Callithrix jacchus: one gene and its partners. The protein of the gene in region 3 interacts with the protein of the main gene of each other region in a biochemical or structural test. Links are inferred from orthologs where the notes say so. Each region holds a gene or a part of one and is shown on either strand. Other genes may lie near its edges.

What was found.
Region 1: the proteins of AURKB (region 3) and KLHL9 form a complex in vitro, tested with the Homo sapiens proteins (2 studies listed by BioGRID and IntAct, with this or other methods). The link is inferred for Callithrix jacchus from reciprocal best matches to the Homo sapiens genes AURKB and KLHL9.
Region 2: of the proteins of AURKB (region 3) and RACGAP1, one has a biochemical effect on the other in vitro, tested with the Homo sapiens proteins (2 studies listed by BioGRID and IntAct). The link is inferred for Callithrix jacchus from reciprocal best matches to the Homo sapiens genes AURKB and RACGAP1.
Region 4: of the proteins of AURKB (region 3) and CENPA, one has a biochemical effect on the other in vitro, tested with the Homo sapiens proteins (3 studies listed by BioGRID). The link is inferred for Callithrix jacchus from reciprocal best matches to the Homo sapiens genes AURKB and CENPA.
Region 5: of the proteins of AURKB (region 3) and KLHL13, one has a biochemical effect on the other in vitro, tested with the Homo sapiens proteins (2 studies listed by BioGRID and IntAct, with this or other methods). The link is inferred for Callithrix jacchus from reciprocal best matches to the Homo sapiens genes AURKB and KLHL13.
Region 6: the proteins of AURKB (region 3) and CDCA8 form a complex in vitro, tested with the Homo sapiens proteins (3 studies listed by BioGRID, with this or other methods). The link is inferred for Callithrix jacchus from reciprocal best matches to the Homo sapiens genes AURKB and CDCA8.

What each region holds. Positions count from the first base shown.
Region 1 is NC_133502.1:128,320,033-128,323,963, forward strand, and holds the start of KLHL9 (kelch-like protein 9), read right to left. Parts: upstream 2,801-3,931; 5' UTR 2,254-2,800; coding exon 400-2,253; 3' UTR 1-399.
Region 2 is NC_133510.1:69,589,683-69,593,182, reverse strand, and holds part of RACGAP1 (rac GTPase-activating protein 1), read right to left. Parts: intron 1,952-3,500; coding exon 1,787-1,951; intron 1-1,786.
Region 3 is NC_133506.1:74,672,293-74,675,000, forward strand, and holds the end of AURKB (aurora kinase B), read right to left. Parts: intron 2,661-2,708; coding exon 2,522-2,660; intron 2,425-2,521; coding exon 2,276-2,424; intron 1,160-2,275; coding exon 985-1,159; intron 810-984; coding exon 636-809; 3' UTR 501-635; downstream 1-500. UniProt on the Homo sapiens protein: Serine/threonine-protein kinase component of the chromosomal passenger complex (CPC), a complex that acts as a key regulator of mitosis.
Region 4 is NC_133515.1:88,212,135-88,216,244, forward strand, and holds the start of CENPA (histone H3-like centromeric protein A), read right to left. Parts: upstream 2,801-4,110; 5' UTR 2,630-2,800; coding exon 2,536-2,629; intron 1-2,535. UniProt on the Homo sapiens protein: Histone H3-like nucleosomal protein that is specifically found in centromeric nucleosomes. Replaces conventional H3 in the nucleosome core of centromeric chromatin that serves as an assembly site for the inner kinetochore.
Region 5 is NC_133524.1:114,040,794-114,044,848, forward strand, and holds the start of KLHL13 (kelch-like protein 13), read right to left. Parts: upstream 2,801-4,055; 5' UTR 2,509-2,800; intron 1-2,508. UniProt on the Homo sapiens protein: Substrate-specific adapter of a BCR (BTB-CUL3-RBX1) E3 ubiquitin-protein ligase complex required for mitotic progression and cytokinesis.
Region 6 is NC_133508.1:74,255,919-74,259,418, reverse strand, and holds part of CDCA8 (borealin), read right to left. Parts: intron 3,341-3,500; coding exon 3,268-3,340; intron 1,288-3,267; coding exon 1,199-1,287; intron 1-1,198.

The DNA of each region.
Region 1 (3,931 bases), on a different chromosome or scaffold from region 3:
TTAGGAAAAGAGGGAGGCAGCCATTATACTCAGCAACCTTTTGTTATTTTTAGGTTAGAGTGGCCTCCCTCTGACATTTTGGAGTCAAAGATGAAAACTCAACTTTGAGGCATAATTATACATTTACCACAGTCATCTACAATTTTATATAACATCACAAGAAGACATCTAAACATTTTTCTACATCTATTTTTTTTCATTTGTAAAAACAGCTAGCTATGTTAAATACATTTTCAGAATGCATTTGTTAGCCATTTGATAAACGCACTAAGCCAAACAAGACAAATAACATCAGTTATCTTTATATCTAATAACTGTACCAATCACTGTAAGAAGATACAACTGAAGGGGAAGTATTAGATCACCCACGATGTACTGCAAAGGTATTACACCTTAGACCTAAGAATGATCTGAAGGTGCTGAAAGAGGTGATTCTCTAGAAGGTGACCCAGGGTTTTCTTCGGGTGGAAAAACTGTGAGTGTACAAGCTCGAATGCCACCAAGTGACTCTGGGAGATCAAAAACTTTATGCCACTCATCTTTTTCTGGGTCATATTTCTGGACAATTTCTACCATACAACGATTATTCCAAGAATATCCACCAACAACGTAGATTTTATTTTCAAAGACGGCAACTCCAACATCACTTTGACCTCTTAACATGGCGGCAATTGGGGTCCACTGGTCAAGGGTTGGTGAATAGTATTCACAGCTTAGAACATCATCATAATCACTTGTTCCTCTGAAGTGATTGCCACCAATGACATAGAGCTTGTCTCCAACTGTACACATGCAATGCAGACCTCTGACTGTAGTCATTGGAGCCTTTTGCATCCATTTGTCTGTATCTGGGTCAAAACACATGAGCTCATTTTGGAAAGTGTCATGGGTAATTCCTCCTGAAATATACATTAAGCCTCCATATACTGTTCCAGCATGTCCATAGTGGGGTTCACTCATTTTTGCAACATAGCTCCACTCATTCATTCTTGGGTTGTAACATTCTACTGTGGCTAGTTCACCAGCTGCACTGCGCCCACCAACTGCATACAAATGTCCTTTGAGGGCACTCAAGTGAAAGAATGTGCGCTTTTCATTTAATGATGCAACCTGCATCCATTTATTATACCGAGGATCAAACCTGAAAACTGTATCAACAGCAGTTTTTCCTTTTGTATCGTAATTACTTTGACCACCAACTACATAAAGAAAGTTTCCAATGACAGCAATGCCATGCTGGTAACGGGGAGCATCCATCGGGGCTAAAGATCTCCATTCTTGTGCCCTTTCATCATACATCCGTAATTCTTTACTGACAACTAGCTGCTGCCTCAAAACTCCTCCTAATGTAACCAAGTGAGTGGAGTCCGATCGAATGGCAGTTCTATCTGACTGCATCACTGGCTGCATATATGGCATCATTTGGTAATTGCTAGCTTCCAAAAGCAGATTCACACAGGTATTGTCTGTTCTCATGAAATCTACCGTCTGCACGTAATTGATGAGGTCCTGTGGTGTCATCAGTGGAAATCGAATATTCTTCATTAATTTTGCAGCATAATCCATCCGAGGGTCTTCCAACCTTAGCCAGCGACAGGCAGCCTTAAAGAGTTCAAGTTCGGTACAGTGCTTAAGACTGTTACTGGAAAGCACAAAGGCAAGCCGTTCAAAAGGGAGTTTTAGAAACTCTCCAGTACTCAGTAAAGCAGGAAAGTTCTTCAGGATGAAATTATTAACATATTTATCCACTTCTATAAGATTGTAGGTGTTAGCAATTCGTCCAACCTCAACACAGTTATCTAAAGAGACTCCTGATATAAGAAATACTTTACAGAAGTCCAAAACAGGTAGTATTTGTAAAAAGCTGGCAGCTTCAAGTGTGTCCTGAAGACTGTCCATATTAAGAGAAAGTTTTGCAGTATAAATAAAATCAATGATTTTCTTCAGACCAACCTTGTTCACCCCATGAAGTTTAATGCACATCAAATCCTGTTCTTTCATTCCACCTGTGAACATAGCCTTGAAATAATCACTAGCAGACGCCATCATAGCTCTGTGAACAGGGAAGATTTCATCTCCATCACCTGGTACGAGGGTCACATCACAAAGCAATCCTTCTATTCTAAGCTGATCAAAGCCTTGCAGTACCACCGAACTGTGAGTATTGCTGGTAAAAAAGCGTGTGGTTCCTGCCTTACAAGGCTGCAAATGGGCAGAGACGCCCATTTCGCCGTTACCAAGGGACACTTTCATGTGAAAGCTTTCCTCCTGTACAGAGATGCAGGCCGGAGAAAGAAGTTATAACCGGAATGTTTTACAGTCAACGAGGTGTCCACAAAGAACAGAGAGCTCGTTTCCTTATCAAAGGAAAGCAGTCACTGCGGCACCCCTCAGGCCACGCCAGTCAGTCATCCACTAAAAATCGCCCTGTAGCAAGATCACAAAGGGCTGTGGACCTCAAATCTGATTATTAGACAGATAATTCATGACCTGTAGGTGGATAAATGACCCGGTTTACCTCGTCTGGCCTGCGCTGCCGCTCCTTCAGCAGTTCCGCTTCGGGCAAAGGGGAGGCGCAGCCACGTACTGCGGCTCCAGGGCCCGCTCGGCGGCGAGTCCAGGCTCCTCAGCGAGCTGCCTGCTGCGCCCTCCGCTGTACCTAGAGTGTCACAGCGGCCACCGGCCAGTCTTTGAGCAAGTGCCTGAACACAGACCTGGACCTGGGCTTGGGCCTGGAACACCGGCCTAGCCCCGGTCCCCAAGCGGCTCCTTCCGGGAAAGCCTAGTCCCAGGATCCCCCGGGGTGGGAGCGGCCGTTGCGGCTACTGCGGCTGCGCAGCCTCCAGAGCTCGTCAGTGGGCGGATGTGTGGGGGTGGTGAAGGGGGAGGAGGAGCGCGGCAACCGGGGACTGCGAGGTTGGGGAAGCGGGGCACCCTGAAGTTGACTCCAGCCCGACGTCTTAGAGTTGCCTTGTACTTGGGACTAAATAGAACAGAATGTGTGCACATATGTTATGCTGCATATTTGATGTAAGGTTTTCGCATATCTGAGCTCTTACGTTTCCCAAATGCATTTTTTAAAGCTTTACACTTCCTAGCTTCTGTTTTTTTGAATAGCAGTGAAATGCAGCTTTTTTATAAATTGAAAGAAAACCTGGTAGAAGAGTACGGGAGGATGCTTAGTTTTTTACAAAACAATAATTATCGCACACTATTTAATACCCCAGTTACAATTTTGGTTCATATTTTCGAATTTGTTGTAATTTCAAGCACAAAGTATTTGTCTCTTTGCTAGATTGTGACTATTATGTAAATGGTATATTCTAAATTTTTGGCTTGAAATGCCTTTGTTTTCCACAATTTAAAAAATGCCTACATAATTTTCCTATAACTATACATAATATAGTTTCCTTTGCCCATTGTTTGTTCCTGAATATGTACCTTCTTATCCTCCATTGTTATATAGAATCTGTAGTGAACTTATAGAATCTGGTAGCAAAATTTTAGCCCTGTTACGGATAGTTAGTAAAATGCTGATCCAAGACAATATTTCCAAAATATTATCACCCCTTCTGCTGACTTTTCCCTTTATGAGTATTTTGTTAACTTGCATTTATTTAATTAGTGGTAAATTTAAATTCTGACATACAAATCAATGTATACTTTGGCACAATTTCTTCCATTTTCCAAATTTGAAGTTTATGTCTTTTAAATCCTTCTAGTTCTTTATGCAAATGCAAAGTAAGAACATAGTCATATTTTTATTACACTCTCATTTTTATATAAAAAATAGCACACCATGTACACTGTTCTGCATCTTTTTTCACTTCAAGATCTTCCTGAATTAGTATTTAAAGGGCTTATCTATGTTTTTAAATAATTCTATTGTTGCCCTTTGAGTTGTCATAAATTATTTAACCAGTGCCCTTTT
Region 2 (3,500 bases), on a different chromosome or scaffold from region 3:
TGATTTGCTGAGGGGTAGGCCGGTACATAATCAGCTTCAACCTCCCCAGCTCAAGCAAGAAGAGTTCAACCCAGCCTCCTAAGAAGCTGCGAACACAGGTGCACACTACTCACCCTGGCTAACTTATTTATTTACTCTTTGGAGAGATGGAGTCTTGTGTTATTGTCCAGGCTGGTCTCAAACTCTTGGGCTCAAGTGATTTTCCTGCCTCAGCCTCCAAAAGTATTAGGATTACAGGCATGAGCCACCATGCTCAGCAATAAATAATTTCTTAATGGATTTAGTCAGTTTAAACTGGTTAAATATTTGGAAATAAGCAACTTAATCTTGATACCCTATTACGGAGTATGTCTAACATAAGAGCAAGAATATTCACAGATAGAATTGTATGATAGCTGATACTTGCTTTAAAGTAATTCACTGGACAGTCAGGAGGAGGCAACAACACTACTGATAAATCAAGAACAGACATAAAGGCTGGGTGCGGGATTACAGATCACACCTGTAATCCCAACACTGGGAGGGTGAGGTAGGCGGATCATTTGAGGTCAGGAGTTTGAGAGCACATGGCAAAACCCCATCTCTACTAAAAACATAAAAAATTAGTTGAGCATGGTGGCTCATGCCTGTAGTCCCAGCCACTTGGGAGGCTGAGGCACAAGAATCACTTGAGCCCAGGAGACAGAGACTACAGTGAGCCAGGGTTGCAACACTTCACTCCAGCCTGGGCAACAGAGGGAAACTCTGTCTCCAAAAAAAAAAGACATTAAAAAAAGAATGGACACGGCCAGGCATGGTGCCTCATGCCTGCAATCACAGTACTTTGAAAGGCTGAGGTGGGTGGATCACTTGAGGTCAGAAGTTCAAGACCAGCATGGCCAACATGGTGAAACTTCATCTCTACTAAAATTACAACAAAAAAAATCAGCCAGGCATGGTGGTGGCTCATTTCTGTAATCCCAACTACTCAGGAAGCTAGGGTGAGAGAATCACTTGAGCCCAGAGGGGCAAAGGTTGCAGTGAGCTGAGGTCGTGCCACTGCACTCCAGCCTAGGCAATAAAGTGAGACTCTCTCAAAAAAAAAAAAAGAGAGAGAGAGAGTGGAAACTAGTTAGTAATCATGGAAGTCAAGTTGTAAGAACCAAGGATTAGTTATACTCATCTCTCTAGTTCTATATATGTCTAAAATTTTCCAAAATGGGATGAGGGGAAGGAAGGAAGAGGAAGAAAGGAGAAGCAGGGAAGAGGAAGAAGGAAAAGGGGGAGGGAAAAGAAGTTTGGTTTAGAAAGGACAGACAAACCCAAACATGACTCTTCTACAAGTAAATATTTTGCAATTCTATTCATTATTTGTGGAAAGAAATATATTTAGGATCGTTAATTTTCTTTTCTTTTCTTTTCTTTTCTTTTTTTTTTTTTTTGAGACAGACTCTCGCTCCATCACCAGGCTGGAATGCAGTGGTGCTATCTTGGCTCATTGCAATCTCTGCCTCCCAAGTTCAAGCAATTCTCCTGCCTCAGCCTCCTAAGTAGCTGGGATTACAGGCATGCGCCACCATGCCCAGCTAATTTTTCGTATTTTTAGTAGACGGAGTTTCACCATGTTGGCCAGGATGATCTTGATCTCTTAACCTCGTGATCAGCCGGCCTCTGCCTCCCAAAATGCTGGGATTACAGGTGTGAGCCACTGCCAGCCTGGGATCATTAATTTTAGAACAAAAACTGACACTAAGCCTTTGAAAGGCTAATAAAGAGGCCATAAAACGATGGCTCACATAAGTCATACCTCTCCAATCTTGACAGGTGTTCCTATCAGGGTAGGAATGCAGGGAAGGGGACAGCGGTCCCGACATTCTGGATGAGAGACCACACGACAGTCTCGACACTTCAGAGATAGTTTGCCAAATTTTATCCGCTTTCCACATGGAACACAGGACTCAGGTTTAATAACCTGGGATAACACAGGGCAAAAGGAACAGAGTGATATAAATTAGAAAATCATTAACATAATCAACTAAACTTTTTGTGTGTGTGTGACGGAGTCTCACTCTGTCACCTGGGCTGGAGTGCAGTGGCACAACCTTGGCTCACTACAACCCCTACCTCCCAGGTTCAAGCAATTCTCCTGCCTCAGCCTCCTGTATAGCTGAATTACAGGTGCCTGCCACTATGCCCAGCTAATTTTTTATATTTTTAGTAGAGATGGGGGTTTCTCCATGTTGGCCAGGCTGGTCTTGAACTCCCGACCTCATGATTTGCCCGCCTCAGCTTCCCAAAGTGCTGGGATTACAGGTGTGAGCCACCGTGCCCGGCCTCTTTGTTTTTTTTTTGAGATGGAGTTTTGCTCTTGTTGCCCAGGCTGGAGTGCAATGGTGCAATCTCGGCTCACCACAACCTCCACCTCCTGGATTCAAGCAATTCTCATGCCTCAGTCTTCTACGTAGCTGGGATTACAAGCATGCACCACCATACCTGGCTAATTTTCTTATTACTAGTAGAAACAGAGTTTCTCCATGTTGGTCAGACTCATCTGGAATTCCCAACCTCAGGTGATCTGCCCACCACAGCCTCCCAAAGTGCTGGGATTACAGGCATGAGCCACCACACTATAATCAACTAACATTTATTGAGCACTTAGTATGTGCTAAAAAACTTTCTAAGCTCTTTACATGTATTTACATATGTAATTCTCACAGTAATCCCAGAAGATAGGTTTTGTTTTCTTCATTTTAAGATGAGAAAACAGATGCAAAAAGAGGTTAAGTAATTTGTTTAAGGTCATCCAGCTGGAAGGCAGCAGTGTGTGGTAATGAAAAGAACTTATTTACAAGAAGCAGAAAACCTGGACGTTGGCAGGGCAGGGTGGCTCACATCCGCAATCCCAACACTTCGGGAGACTGAGGCTGGTGGATCACCACAGATCACCTGAGGTTAGGAGGTTGACATCAGGCTGGCCAACATGGTGAAACCCCATCTCTTCTAAAAATGCGAAAATTAGCCAGGTGTGGTGGTGGGCGCCTATAATCCCAGCTACTCAAGAGGCTGAGGCAGGAGAATCACTTGACCTAGGAGGTGGAGGTTGCCGTGGGCCGAAATTGTGCCACTGCACTCCAGCCTAGGCAACAGAGTGAGACTCTCTTTCAAAAAAAAAAAAAAGGGCAGGCATTGTGGCTTATATCTGTAATCACAGCACTTTGGGAGGCGCTGAGGCAGGCAGACTGCCTGAGCTCAGAAGTTCGAGACCAGCCTGGGCAACATGATGAAACTCCGTCTCTACTAAAATGCAGAAAATCAGCCAGGCATGGTGGCGTGCACCTGTAATCCCAGCTACTCAGGAGGCTAAGGCAGGAAAATCAGTCAAACCTGGGAGGTGGAGGTTGCAGTGAGCCGATATTGAGCCACTGCACTGCAGCCTGAGTGACAGAGCGAAACTCCATCTCAAAAAGAAAAGAAAAGAAAACCTTGATGCTAAATCTTTTACTTACTATCATGTGGCTCAA
Region 3 (2,708 bases):
CCTGAAAAAGGGTATCTATGAAAAACCTACAGAAAGCTTCATATGTAACTGTGAAACCTTGTGTCAGGAACAAGACCGAATCACTACTGCTTCTTTGGCTCCTGTACCAGAGCAGTAAAAGAAACAAGCAAAGACGACTTCTAGGGTACAGCATTGTTCAGTTGCTCCTACAATGGCAAAGGGGCAGAGAATGAACCAGAAGAGGAAAAACTACAAGTCAGACAACCAAGAGAGAGGTGAAAAGTGGCCAGAGATGGCTGGTGTGCCAGGGTCCAGCGCCTCCAGGCTCTGGGAGCGAATAGACAGTGAGGGCAGAGGTGGAAGTGGGGGTGGCGTTGGCTGGGAACTGACCAGGTGAGAGTCAGAGCTGAGAGGGTAGGGTATTACCAGGGATAGCAAAGTAATGCTCATCCCAGCTCCTCAGGGTGGGCCAGCTCTCTTCTAAGGAACAGCTTCCACCACAGCAAAGCATCCACCTAGAAACATCTACACTCATCAGTATACAAAAAGCTTCAGCCTTTATTAAACAAAGGAGGAGGTAGAAGACAGACAAGGGAACAGTCAGGGCCCCTTCTTTCCCCTGTACATACACAGACATACAAACATAGACACACCCGAGTGAATGACAAGGACCATCAGGCGACAGATTGAAGGGCAGAGGGAGGCAGCACCCTCCGAGAGTTGGCCTGGACCCAAGGGTGGGCTGAGACCTGGGCCAGGGGCAGCCGTTCTGAGGGGTTATGCCTGAGCAACTTGGAGATGAGGTCCTGGGCTCCCGTGGGCACTGAAGCGGGAAACTTTAGGTCCACCTGCAGATATGAAGAGATGGAAGGGCTGCATTAGTTTCATCCTGGCTACATCTTCCTTGACTACCCATTCTGTTTGGAGTTACTTAGGGCCATGCAAATACACTCTGCCCACACACCCTCAGCCCCCCAGCCCCTGGCCTCTGCATCTGGCATGAAGCCCAGGCCACCCTCCCACCTTGACGATGCGCCGATAGGTCTCATTGTGTGATGCACTTTCAAAGGGTGGGTTCCCCACCAGCAGCTCGTAGCAAAGTACTCCAATGCACCACAGATCCACCTTCTCGTTGTGCGTGCGCCCCTCAATCATCTCAGGGGGCAGGTAGTCCAGGGTACCACACATTGTCTTCCTCCTGGGAGGGATAAGCGGTGTGGGCAGGGGTCCCAGTGACATACAATCTCTCCTTTCCCTGCTGCCTGACAGCAGGGAGCCAAAAGACCACAGGATGTACCACGGGAGAGGTCCAGCCAGGCAGGGTTACTGGGGTGGGGGTGGGATGATGATATATCCCGAAGCCCCAGAGTTAAGCCTGCACATAGCCCCAGCAATTCTACACTGTCGGATATATCTTAACATAATCTAAGGCCAGGCACAGTGGCTCATGCCTGTAATCCCTACACTTTGGGAGGCCAACGTGGGCGGATCAGGAGGTCAGGAGATGGAGACCATCCTGGCTAACACAGTGAAACTCTCTACTAAAAATACAAAAAAAGTTAGCCGGATGTGTTGACACATGCCTGTAGTCTCAGCTACTGGGGAGGCGGAGATTGCAGTGAGCCAAGATTGTGCCACTGCACTCCAGCCTGGATGACAGAGCAAGACTCCATATCTTTCTGGTTTTGTGTTTTTGACTCCATCTCAAAAAAAAAAAAAAGATAATCCAATGTGTGGGCAATGTTCATTTTGGAGTTAAAGAAATAATTGGAGACATCTCTAATGCCCATCAGGCATGTTCTGCTTAAATAAATCAGGTTGTATCTCTACCATGTGATACTATGAAACCATGAAAAAAAAGGTATGGAAGAAAAAAAGGCTGCTGCTCCTGGGCTTTTTTGAGACAAAGTCCAGGCTGGAGTGCAGTGGGGCGATCTTGACTCACTGCAACCTCTACCTCCCGGGTTCAAGCGATTCTCATGTGCCAGCCTCCTGAACAGCTGGGATTACAAGTGTGTACCACCATGTCTATTTTTAGCAGAGAGGGGGTTTTGCCATGTTGGCCAGGCAGGTCCGCCAGTCTTGAACTTCTGGCCTCAAGTGATCCAACCACCTTGGCCTCCCAAAGTGCTGGGATTACAGGTGTGAGTCACCGTGCCTGGCCAAAGTTTGGCCACTGGCCTGTACAGATACCAAAACTGCAACCTTGGCATTATTAGCACCACACTCTAACCAACTGAGCTAACGTGAAACTTGTTCCTGGAGAGGTTTTAATGGCCCAGCCTCACACCTCTGGCCTCCCAGGCCACCATACCTCAGGGAGGGTGCGTGCACAGACCAGCCGAAGTCAGCAATCTTCAGCTCTCCCTTGAGCCCTAAGAGCAGATTCTCTGGCTTTATGTCTCTGTGAATCACCTTCTTCCCATGGCAGTACATTAGAGCATCTGCCAACTCCTCCATGATCTGGAAGGGCCAATGACAGGCAGTCAGACAAAGATGGACCTCCAGCTACAAGCAGCACAAGCCCCTACCGGCGCCCTAGGTGCCCACGCTCCCGGACCGTGGCTGTTCGCTGCTCATCAAATGTGCGGTTCTTCTGCAACTCCTTGTAGAGCTCCCCACGGGGAGCATACTCTAGAATCAAGTAGATCCTCCTCCGGTCATAAAAGTAGTTGTACAGCCGCAGGATGTTGGGATGCCTGGGGGAAGAAATGAGGAGGCCTCAGGCCAAAGGCATAAAAGAGCTG
Region 4 (4,110 bases), on a different chromosome or scaffold from region 3:
TAGTGGTTGTGGGGAGTCAGATTGGAGTAGGTTGTAGGGTCACTAGGATGGAAGGAATCAGACACAACATATGTAGACCTAACTAAGTCTGGCTATTTTAAAACGATGGCTATGAAGGGGGAGTAGAGAGAAATGGGAGGTATAGGGAGGTGAGAATGTGGGGTCAAGGAAACACTCCTGTACTTTCTCTTAACATCATAAATACTAGAGCACATTTGCCAATGCTAATGTGAAGTGTCTGGATTTATCTAAGCACAGGTAGAAAGGACAACAGAAAGCTCCTTGTAGGTGAAAGAAGGATATGACCAAGAGCCCATGTAGAAGGAGGGGTGGCTTTGATAGGAAGGGGAACTTAGTCAAGGCCATCATTAGCTAAGAGTGAGTGGGGGGAATGGAGCTGTAGGAAGTCATGGAGGGAGGAAAAGGTATGAAATAGTCATGAGGGCCAGGCGTGGTGGCTCACACCTATAATCCCAGCACTTTGGGAGGCTGAGGCAGGCAGATCATGAGGTCAAGAGATCAAGACCATCCTGGTCAATATGGTGAAACCCCGCTCTACTAAAAATAAAATATTAGCTGGGCATGGTGGCACACACCTGTAGTCCCAGCTACTTGGGAGGCTAAGGCAGGAGAATCACTTGAACCCAGGAGGCGGAGGTTGTAGTGAGCCGAGATCATGCCACTGACTCCAGCCTGGTGATACAGCAAGACTCCGTCTCAAAAAAAAGAAAAGAAAAGAAAAGAAAATAAAAGAAATAGTCATGGGGAGAATGAAAAAGCAAGAATTCCAGACAAAGGCCAGGCAAGATGGCTCATTCTTGTAATCCCATCATTCTGGAAGGCCAAGGCGGGAGAACCACTTTAGGCCAGGAGTTCAAGACCATGCTGGGCAATATTTTTGTAGAGTCAAAACATTTTGAAGCCGGAGGATCACATGAGCCCAAGAGGTCAAGGCTGCAATTAGCCAAGATAGCACCACTGCACTCCAGCCCGGATGACAAAGTGAGACTCTGTCTCTAAAATTAGAGAATACCAGACAAAGCAGGTAGGACTACCAAGAAGTGTTGAGAGCCCATTTGAGAGAAACCTTCCATTTAACCAGGAATAGAAGGATGTTTCTACCTTGGAAAGGAACAGCAAACATCACACTTAATATTCCTGTTAAAATTACAAATGAGACAAAGATGGCCAAAACACTGCTCTTGGCGAATCTCAGGGCCTTACTAATACCATACAGTAAGAAATAAAATGTGTAGAAACGAAAACGGAAGACTCAAAAGTTATCTGCAGGTGACATATAGTCGACTTAAAAATTCCAACTGAAGCAACTAAAAGACTATTAGGATGCATGAGAATTCGGCAAGTCGGCTGGATGCAAAGGTTAAATACTCATGTTTTGGAAAAGAAAAAACATCCCATTCACGACAGCAACATCTAGAAAAACCTACTCTAGCCTAGGCAATATGGCAAAACCCCATCTCTACTAAAACTACAAAAAATTAGCCAGGCGTGGTGGTACATGCCAGTAGTCCCAGCTACTCAGGAGGCTGAGGTGGGAGAATCACTGAGCCTGGGAAATTGAGGCTGTAGTGAGCCCTGATGGCATCACAGCACTCCAGCCTGGGCGATGGGTCTCAAAAAAACACAAAAAACACAAAAAGCCTATAGGCGCAGTGGCTCATGCCTGTAATCCCAGCACTTTGGAAGGCCCAGGCAGGAGGATCACTTATTTGACACCAGTCCGGACAACACAGGGAGACCCAGTCTCTAAAAAAAACAAACAAATTTACAATACACTTTCCCCATCTTGTTCATGGCTATGTAGCAAGAGTTTAGAGATAAGTAAAGCAGCTATTGCCACGCGTACCATACAGGCATCTGCGTCCTCCTGCCCCTGTTTCCCATCCACCAGCCCACCATACAGACAGTGAAGACACAGACTTCGGCCCCTCTTTGCCGGACATAAGCTCTGGAAGGTAACAGAGTGAGCATCGCAGAGGGCCTCGGTTCAAGGTCTAAACAGTCTCTCCCGGAAGGGAAAAAAACCTGAAAGACGCCTCCTAAGAGGACTGCAGTTTGAAATCGTCACTGAAAGCAGTCAATACTTTTGCAATTTTAAAAAAGCACAGACACAGAGGATTGGAAATCCCGTGTCCGCCAGAACAAGTTATGTGACTCTGCTCAAGCTCCCTGGCCTGTCTGTGCCTCGGCTTTTTCATTAGCTATAAAACGCGTACGACCTGAAGCTGAGATAACGCACGAACAGTAGGGACGCAATGCCTGGTTGGCGGTGGGCGCTGGGTAACCGCTAGTCCTAACAAGCAGGCGGCGTTAGGAGCTGGTCCCTTCCCGCTTCGAACCGCCTGCTCCAGTCCCTCGCAGGGCTGACACCGCTCGTGCCCGGGGCGGATGCCGGACAGCGGAACCGTGTTGTCCCCCAGCAGGGGAAGGTCACGCGACCGGGACTCGGGAGATCCGGGCTCCGCCTGCGAGCCTCGGTTTTCTCCTCTACGAGACAGGGCCGCAGCCGGTTACCTAAGGAGGGGCCCCGCCGGGAGGGGCTGGGGGTCGGGCTCGCGCTGCGCCTCCTCGGGGCCTCGGGCTTGCGGCTCCGGCGGCGCGGGCCCATGGCGCGCCGCGGAGAGTGCTGGCGCCCGGCCCCACGGCTCCTGCTTGGGCTGCCGGGTCCAGGGACAAAAGGCTGGCGTCTGGGTAGGCTCGGAGAGCCCTGGACCGCGAGCCTTAGAGGAGCCGGTGCTTAACCACGTTCCGCGCCGCTCGCGTTCAAATCGCTCGCTCCGCCCACTTCACCGCCCGCGTTTTTTAAAACCCGAATCCAGCGACTCTCAGTGGCTGACTCTGGAACGCCCCTTACGTAGAGCGACTGCGGATAGGACCAATGAGAGTACTGGCCGAGACACAAACGGCGGCGGTGATAGCAGGCCAGCGGGGACTAATGGTGAAATCAGCCAATAGGCACTTAAAGAAGTGAGATGGGGCGGGGAATTCTCCTGCTCTCTGCTTGCTGATCTGGGTGCTGGCCTTTGCAGGACTGTACTGATGTCCTCAGGTGCCCTTCGGTCAAAACACCGATGCTCAGTTTGGAACGTGGATGGTGCGTTTGCAGAACGTGCTTCTCTAGACAAGTCACTTTCCTCAAACATTTTATGTTTTGCCCTAGCAACCCAGACCCACCCCATGTCGCGTCTGCGGCCCTCCGGGGAATTATCCACGTATATACTCAGAAGCCAGTTCAACTGCATGAACTTGGCTGATGCTTGGGGTCGCGGGGACGCCGGGATCGGAGGGGCTTTGAGGATGAGATCCGTGCAGGGCAGGCCTCGGCACTATAGCAACGCAATCGTCCCAGAAAAACCCTTTCTCCTCTTTGTTGGGGATAATAAAAATTCAAGTCATGTTCCTGTATGTGGAATAAGGGGAATTTAAATTTTCTAAATTTTCTTTCTTGAATTTTCTAAATGTTCTACAGTGAACGTGTACTGTCTGTAATCAGGAAAAACGTTAGTTATAAAATTAGTGATTTCATGGAAACCTGGTGCATTGCTGGTGGGAGTGTAAAATGCTGCGGCTGCTGTGAAAAACAGTATTAGTGGTTCCTCAAAAAATCAAAAATAGAATTACGAGATGATCCAGTAATTCCACTTCTGGCTAAATATCCAAAAGAATTTAAATACAGCCAGGGACTTGAACAGATATTCCCACACCCATGTTGATAGCAGCATTCTTCACAACAGCCCAAAGGCAGAAACAGCCTTAAAAAGGAAGGGAATTCAGGAGGCTGAGGCAGGAGAATTGCCTGAACCCAGGAGGCGGAGGTTGCGGTGAGCCGAGATTGCGCCATTGCACTCCAGCCTGGGTAACAAGAGCGAAACTCCGTCTCAAAAAAAAAAAAAAAAAAAAAAAAGGAAGGGAATTCCGACGGGTGCTGCAACATAGATGAACCTTGAGGACATTATGCTAAGTTTAAGGCAGTCACCAAAGGACAAATGCTGGGCCCGGGTGCGATGGCTCACACCTGTAATCCCAACACTTTGGGAGGCCAAGGCGGATCACCCGAGGTCAGGAGTTCAAGACCAGCTTGGTCAACAT
Region 5 (4,055 bases), on a different chromosome or scaffold from region 3:
GGAAATCTGTTGTATTATTTCATAGCAATAAAAATAGATCAGTTTCAACCAGCAGATTAAAGAAAAAAAATTTTCAAGAGGTTTTAGTGGTTTATCAAACATCAATAAAAATCAAACAATTTGAAAATTGGTCAGTCTCATTTCACTAATGCAAGTCAAATTACATGAAGAAACATAATATAAAATGTAAATAAAATGAGAAAGAAGATAATCCAATAAGTAAGTACAGTTACCTTTAGTAACATCAGAAATATCCAGTCTGATAACCTCTAGGTGTACCAGATGGACTGTCAAACACACACTGAATCATATTGAAGATTCAGAGCAAAATGCTAATGGTTAACTCACATCCACCTTTATTCCTTTCCTGACAAATACAAATAGTCTTACTATGCAATCACATTAGTGGCAATCTTAGCTTAGACTCAGTATCAATAATAATCATGAAAAGAAAATTGTATAAACTATTTTCCTTGAAACAGTTGTAAGTTTGTATGTCTTATGAGAATGGTTTCTCAAGAAAAGTACAGATTTGGAAAGGTGGGCTATTAGAGTAAGTACCCTTTCCCCACTACATTCCAATTTTTAATAAACCTCAAGTAAACTCAGAAATTTACCAAATCAGTTGGGAAATGACAAATCATCTGCAAGTTATCTAACTAAATTGATAAGCAATAGGCTTTACTTTTATTGTGAAAACTACTTTCTTCAGAACATCAACTAAGCCTTATATAATCACATTACACTTTTCGAAGTGTGCTTATAAAAATGGCAGATTAAAAACATTGGGCTTTTTAAGAATTGAAGCTCTTATTTATCTGTTTTTTAAATGCATCATTTGATGTTGCAGCAGAAACTACTCTCATCTCACTGCCATAAGAAGTTCTACCAGGCAAAAAAATTTAGCCATTATCATCATTCACAACTTGGTTTCTTCTGAGATTGCTGCCAGTTAGTGCACACTGTGTCAACCGCAACACTTGGTCACACATCAGGCAAACAAACTCTTTTACCATTAAGTATAAGGATATTAATAAGAACTTGCAGTTAAGGGAGCTAATATTTTTAGATGTAAAATGATGTCACAAATGCTGAATTATTTCATTTTCCTCAGTTTTTAAATTTGAACACTAGATATGGCCTATTTCCAAAAACACAGCTGCATATGTCAGCATGTGCTTGTTCACTGGTATTCGCCTCCACTTTCTGCTTCTCCATTCAGTTTCCTTCACACACTAATTGCAGCATGGAAGTGAGCAAATGAACCTCAGCCTGGGAGCTAACACCATAACTACATGGGGAGAAAGTGATATTGCTAAGAGTGAGCAGACTTTTTTTTAAACTACGTTGTTTTGAAATATGCTGCTTTTGGAGGGTTTATACAAATACAAGATCCACTGTTAAGGAACTGTGGCTTCAGAAAAAAAAAAAAAAAAAGCAGGTGCTCTCCAGAGACAGTTTTAAATCCCAGCGTCTCTTAGTCCCCATTCAATGTGCTTAGTAACCAGCCTATGTTAACTTGAGTGACTTTATCCCAAACCACTAAAGTCCTCTGACTACATTAAAACGATGAACATTATAGTTTACAATTAGAGAAATGGAGCCAGGCATCACAAGTTCCACCAATCCTCTGTCTCTCAGGCCTGCTGAGAAGCCAGGGAAGAATCAGATTTAGGATCATGTATGAGATTGCGTACAAACATATATATATATATATATATATATATATATATACACACACACACACACACACACACATATATACACACACACATACACATACACACATACACACACACACACATTTAACTGGCTATTGTTCTTGGGTTAACTTAATGAAACCTAGAAAGAAACTTTAAAGTTCCCTAGTTGATATTTACTAAGGATATTTAGAGAAGGAATGATCTCATCACTTTCAGTAAACTGTAGCCTAGACTGCAAACCTCCAAGAAAATCATTAGTCAACTGTGATTTAAAAAAAAAAAAAGTCAAGATATTCTGAACGCAGAGTGAAGTTAAAAGCTTGGAGAACAGGAGTGTGCTCTTCAGTTGGAAGCCAGCAGAGAAGACTCAAGTTAGGAGATTCTGAAGGAGAGATGGATTAGGAGGCACAAAGCAGAAACTGTTAGAGGGCAAGAGACAGTGGGGCCGAGGTGGGCAGAGGGACCCCAGACTGTCAGGGCAGCGACAGCGAGGCCCAGAAAAGAAGATCTTGGAGAGATGAGAAAGAAGCAAAGGAAAACTAGGTTCTGGGGTCCTAGAAGAACCTACGTGTCCGACGGAGCCAGAGGGACCGGGAGAAAGGGATGCGAAGGTGTAAGGATGAGGGCGCGCACCAGGACGCGGGAGAAAAAGAGGGTGGGCGGGCAAAACGAAGCTGGTTCCCTGCTCCTCTGCTCCTCTGCCCCTGGCACAGATCGCAACTCCTCGCCGCGCACCGCGCGGCGCCGGTTCCAGAGGCGGGGAAGCGGCTGATGGAGCCCCTGTGACTTCAGGACCCTGCCTCACCTTGCTCGCCGCGTCCTGGCGTCGCGCCGCTCGTCCGCCGGGTGCTGCGCTCCGAGGGCCAAAGAGGGAGTCGCGCGATGCAGCCCAAGCTCCCTTCTGCTGCGAGGCACCAGCACCCGCACCTTCGCACCCTCTGCTAGCCCGACCACTTCACCCTGTCCTGGCGCGGGCGGAGAGCACGGACCCTAACCCGAATGCCGCTCCAGTTATTTTCAAAAGTCCCCGTTCCAGGTTTCCCGGCAATAAGAGCTGAGCTACTGCGGCCGCAGCGGCAGAGCCTCCGCCTGACCTCACCAGGGTGTGGGGGGGCCGCCGAGGGAGGGGGGCGGGAACCCAGTTGGGGAGGGAGGGGGTAGTGGGGGGAGGGAGCGCGCGGGCGGGGGAAACATGGCGGCGGGGGTGGCCCCGGCAGCGCCTGCGCGGGAGGCAGGGTGGTGGGGAGCTGGGGCTAGGACAGTGTGTGGGGTCCGAACGGAACTCCCAGGCTGTAGCCAAAGCGCGACGAGGCTGGACCCTGAAGCTGAATGACCGCTAAGTGGCCCTCAAGCCTCCGAAACCGGGAGGCTCGGGTGTGAGCCCACGTGACTTCTAGTGCCAGGAGGCAGAAAAAGTGAAAAGTGTCAAGTATCCAGGGAAAACAGTGCATCCGCCCGGGGTTAGCCACTTCAAGGAGGTCCACCCATGCATTTTGCCAGCCGTGGCCTCGGCCTCCTCACAGTCACGGCGGGGCTCGGGCAGAGGGTGTGCTCTGGAAGCGGTGCCACCTCACCTCATTGGGGCCCAGGTCTCAAAATAAGTCTGACCCAGGCTCTCACACAAATATCACTCTTCCAGTGGGATAAACGCTTCATCCCTCCCTCTCCCTGCTGCAGTACGCAACATTAAGAAAGAGGAAGGATACAAACTACAAATAATAACAGTTTAACGTTTTACTGAGCGTCTGCTATGAACCAAGCACTGAAGTATCAGCTTACCTAACTCACAGCTACTCTGTAAGTTACACACTATTATTTCCATTTTACAAGTCACAAAACTGAGGTTAAGCAAGTTGCCGGAGGTTATATAAACAGTAAGTGGCAGAAGCGGGACTCAGGATCCCAAGCGGTGTGATTCTGGCACCCAGGCTCTTAACCACTGTGCAAACTGCTTCCAAACTCTGGTGGGACTCCTTTTCTAGGTCCGAATCTTGATTCTGTTTCGTCGACCTAGCCCCCAACAAAAATCCCAGTCAAGCCTGTTTTTCCCCTCGTCTTCCATTCATTCTTTGCCTTCTTGACGGTTACAGCCTGGGGCCACCTTCTTACACCTCTTCCTTTGCCCTTTCTACTTATGATTCCAGACTCCTCCTTGAGAAAATAAAGTGAGTTTGCTCTTAGCAACCAGTTTAATCAATGTTGAGTTTTTTTTTCTTTGTCTGTCTTCTTCTTCTTCTTCTTCTTCTTCTTCTTCTTCTTCAGGAAGTGATGTGGTGAGTGTGGAATCTTTATGTTTTCTAGGATTAGGAGATGTATTTCAAGCAATCAGTTTTAGCATGTATCAAAAACCTG
Region 6 (3,500 bases), on a different chromosome or scaffold from region 3:
AGAGGAAAGGTAAGGAGAGTAAGGAGGGTTTTTTTTTTTAAAAGGGTTTAAAAACACAAAAACAAAAAACAAAGAGAAAGGGAACAAGCTTTGGATAGTTAATACTAAATATAATAAGAATTCAATGACTTAAATAGTTCAGAACATAACTTAACTGAATTTCCACTGGCTGGGTTTTCAAAATAGAGGATTTGGGCCAAGATTAAAAGTAAATCTCTTTTGAACTGATTGCAGCCTGGCTTGTCCCCCTCTAGGATACATAAAGGGCTGCTGTGAAGGTCACTCAGGGCATCTCAGGTGCACAATTGAAGGCAAAGCCTGCAGTGCTCCCATCCTGGGGCCTGGGAGGTCCCTGGCAAGAATCACTCCTTATCTTCCATATATTCACTCCTCCCTTGTCCTCCGTGATGGATCCATCTTGCCTGCTTCTCTAGCTTCCTTGGCAGCCTGCCTTAGGAGCTCCTCTCTCTACCCTCCCTGTATGTTCACCCTGAGGCTCCCTCCCTTCCTGCATAACCATCTCCACTCCCACAGTGGGACAAACACCTAAAGATCTGGGAGGCAGTGTATTTCTCAATCTCCCTCTTCTCCCTGAGCTCCAGGCTGAAATTTCTGTCTAGCCTAGATGTCCTGGAAAAGTATCGAATGGTCCACATGCCATGCAATTGACATGTACTCCTCCTACCCCTAGTCCAGCACCACTCTGCCACCCAAGTCCCACACCTCACTGGATGGCGGTTGCCTTAGCTAGAAACCATGGAGTCGTCTCTGATTCCTCCTTTTCTCCACCAACCATGCCACTTTCTAAAACCTATCTCAAAACCATCCCTTCTTTTTATAGTATCAGCATGTCAGTTCAAGAATTTATAAGCTTCCAACTGGTTTCCCCATCTCCAGTTTCCCCCTCCCCCATTTATCCTGAATACTGTTCCTCTTCCCTTTCTTCTTCAGCTAGCAGGCTCTCACTCACCTTGAAAGCCCTGCCCATGTCCTAATGGGGTAGGGGAGACTTGCTACCTTCTTCTTCTGTGTTCTCTACACTTTGGACACCAGTCAATTATCACTTTTGTCACTGCCATGTAAAGTAGGATCATCTCTACTAAACTGTAAGCTCTGGTGCACAACAACGTATTTTATGCATTTTTGTATTTGCTTGTTTCATGGTAGCCCTCAGCCCCCAACCTCAGTGTCCACTTACTCTCGCAGTTTGAAGATTCTTATGTTTATTTTCTTCTTCTTCTTCTTCCTCTTCCACTATCATTTCATCAACTTGTATTACCTTTCGTGCTATAAGAAACAGTTTCAACAGTGTGGTATTTCTAATGAGAATAAAGTTTTGGGCATTCACATTTCTTATAGGAATAAAACATATGCAATCCTAAACTGCAATTAAGAAATGAACTAAAATTAAAGAAGACTTTTTTTTTTTTTTTTTTTGAGACGGAGTTTCGCTCTCGTTACCCAGGCTGGAGTGCAATGGCGCGATCTCGGCTCACCGCAACCTCCGCTTCCTGGGTTCAGGCAATTCTCCTGCCTCAGCCTCCTGAGTAGCTGGGATTACAGGCACGTGCCACCATGCCCAACTAATTTTTTGTATTTTTAGTAGAGACGGGGTTTCACCATGTTGACCAGGATGGTCTCGATCTGTTGATCTCATGATCCACCCGCCTCGGCCTCCCAAAGTGCTGAGATTACAGGCTTGAGCCACCGTGCCCAGCCTAAAGAAGACTTTTTAAGAAAGAGAGTTTAGATAAAGGAAACTAATCAGTGTTAAGAAACCCCACATGATGCTTTGTAGGGACAGCCCAGCATTCTGAATAAGACAAACTTGAACTTGCCCTGCCTGGAAATCCTGGCCATGGGTCAGGATGTTCTTATAAGAGCTGGATGCATCAAACTATCATAGCTTAATGACGGTGACATTAAGTCCATGTCACAATTCATCCTGACCCAATTCCTTGCTCACTAGTCACAGCCTGGTCTCCCATATAACTTTTCCTGTAAGATAGTGTTTCTCAGAGTGTGGGACATGTATGTAAGATGATTTTATGCAGATAGATCGTGGAATTGAGTACCTTTTTTTCTCCCTTTTCTTTCTTTCTTTTTTTTAATCAGAGATAGCATCTCACTATGTTGCCCAGAATGGTCTTGGACTCCTGGGCTCAACTGATCCTCATGGCTTAGGATTACAGGTGTGAGTCACTACATCTGGCCTGAATTGAGTAACTTTGAACTTTATGCAGAGAAAGTCACTTCTTTTTCTTTCTTTCTTTCTTTTTGAGACAGAGTCTCGTTCTGTCGCCAGGCTGGAGTACAGTGGCGCAATCTTGGCTCACTGCAACCGCCGCCTCCCGGCTTCAAGGGATTTTCCTGCCTCAACCGCCCGAGTAGCTGGGACTACAGGCACATACCACCATGCCTGGCTAATTTTTGTATTTTTAGTAGACACTGGTTTTACCCCGTTGGCCAGGATGGTCTCGATCTCCTGACCTCATGATCTGCCTGCCTCAGCCTCCCAAAATGCTGGGATTACAGGCATCAGCCACTGCACCCGGCCAAGTCATTTCTTTTTTTATTTTCTTTTCTATTGAGACGGAGCTTTGTTCTTGTTGCCCAGGCTGGAGTGCAATGGCCCGATCTTGGTTCATGGCAACCTCTGCCTCCTGGCTTCAAGTGATTTTCCTGTCTCAGCCTCCTGAGTAGCTAGGATTATAGGCATTCACCACCATGCCTGACTAATTTTGTATTTTTAGTAGAGATGGGGTTTCTGCATATTGGTCAGGTTGGTCTTGAACTCCCCACCTCAGGGGATCTGCCCGCCTCGGCCTCCCAAAGTGTTGGGATTACAAGTGTGAGCCACCGTGCCCAGGTCAAGTCACTCCTTTTTCAGTTCTCTTTCAACTTTGCTGATTCTCAGGTGGTCTTACCAGTCTTTTAACACCTCTCTAGCAACAATGTTTGGTTTCTAGCACAGCTTTGTATTTTTCCTTTTTTCACTTTCACTTTAGTTCACACAGCGGTCTTGAGGTTGGTTAGCAGCAGTCCTGCATACAATAAACTAAATTTCTGGTTTGAATTGGTGTTTGGGTAAAACAAAACAAAACAAAGCAAAATACAGCATCCAAAAGCAAGTCTTTAGATTTACAAGATTAAGAACCAGACATTAAAGGGAAGACACTCTACCAAGAGGGCCCTGGCTGAGCAGCCAACCACGCAAGCTGAGCCTCAGTTCTTTCTATTGGACAAGGAGTTTTGAAAAGTACTCACTTTTGGCAGATTTCAGGGGTGTCTGAATAGCTTCTGCTGTTAGTTTGTTTATTTCAGTGATATCCAGGTCAGCCTATGACAAACAGAGCCAGAAAGCACCAGTTATTTCACCAAAATATGAGGAACAATATTTTGAGATAAAAAATTTTTTTTAACTATTTGATACATTAGACTGTTAAATGTAAGTGATAATACAATATAGCAGACTCCCATAAAGCCACCAGGCAACCCAA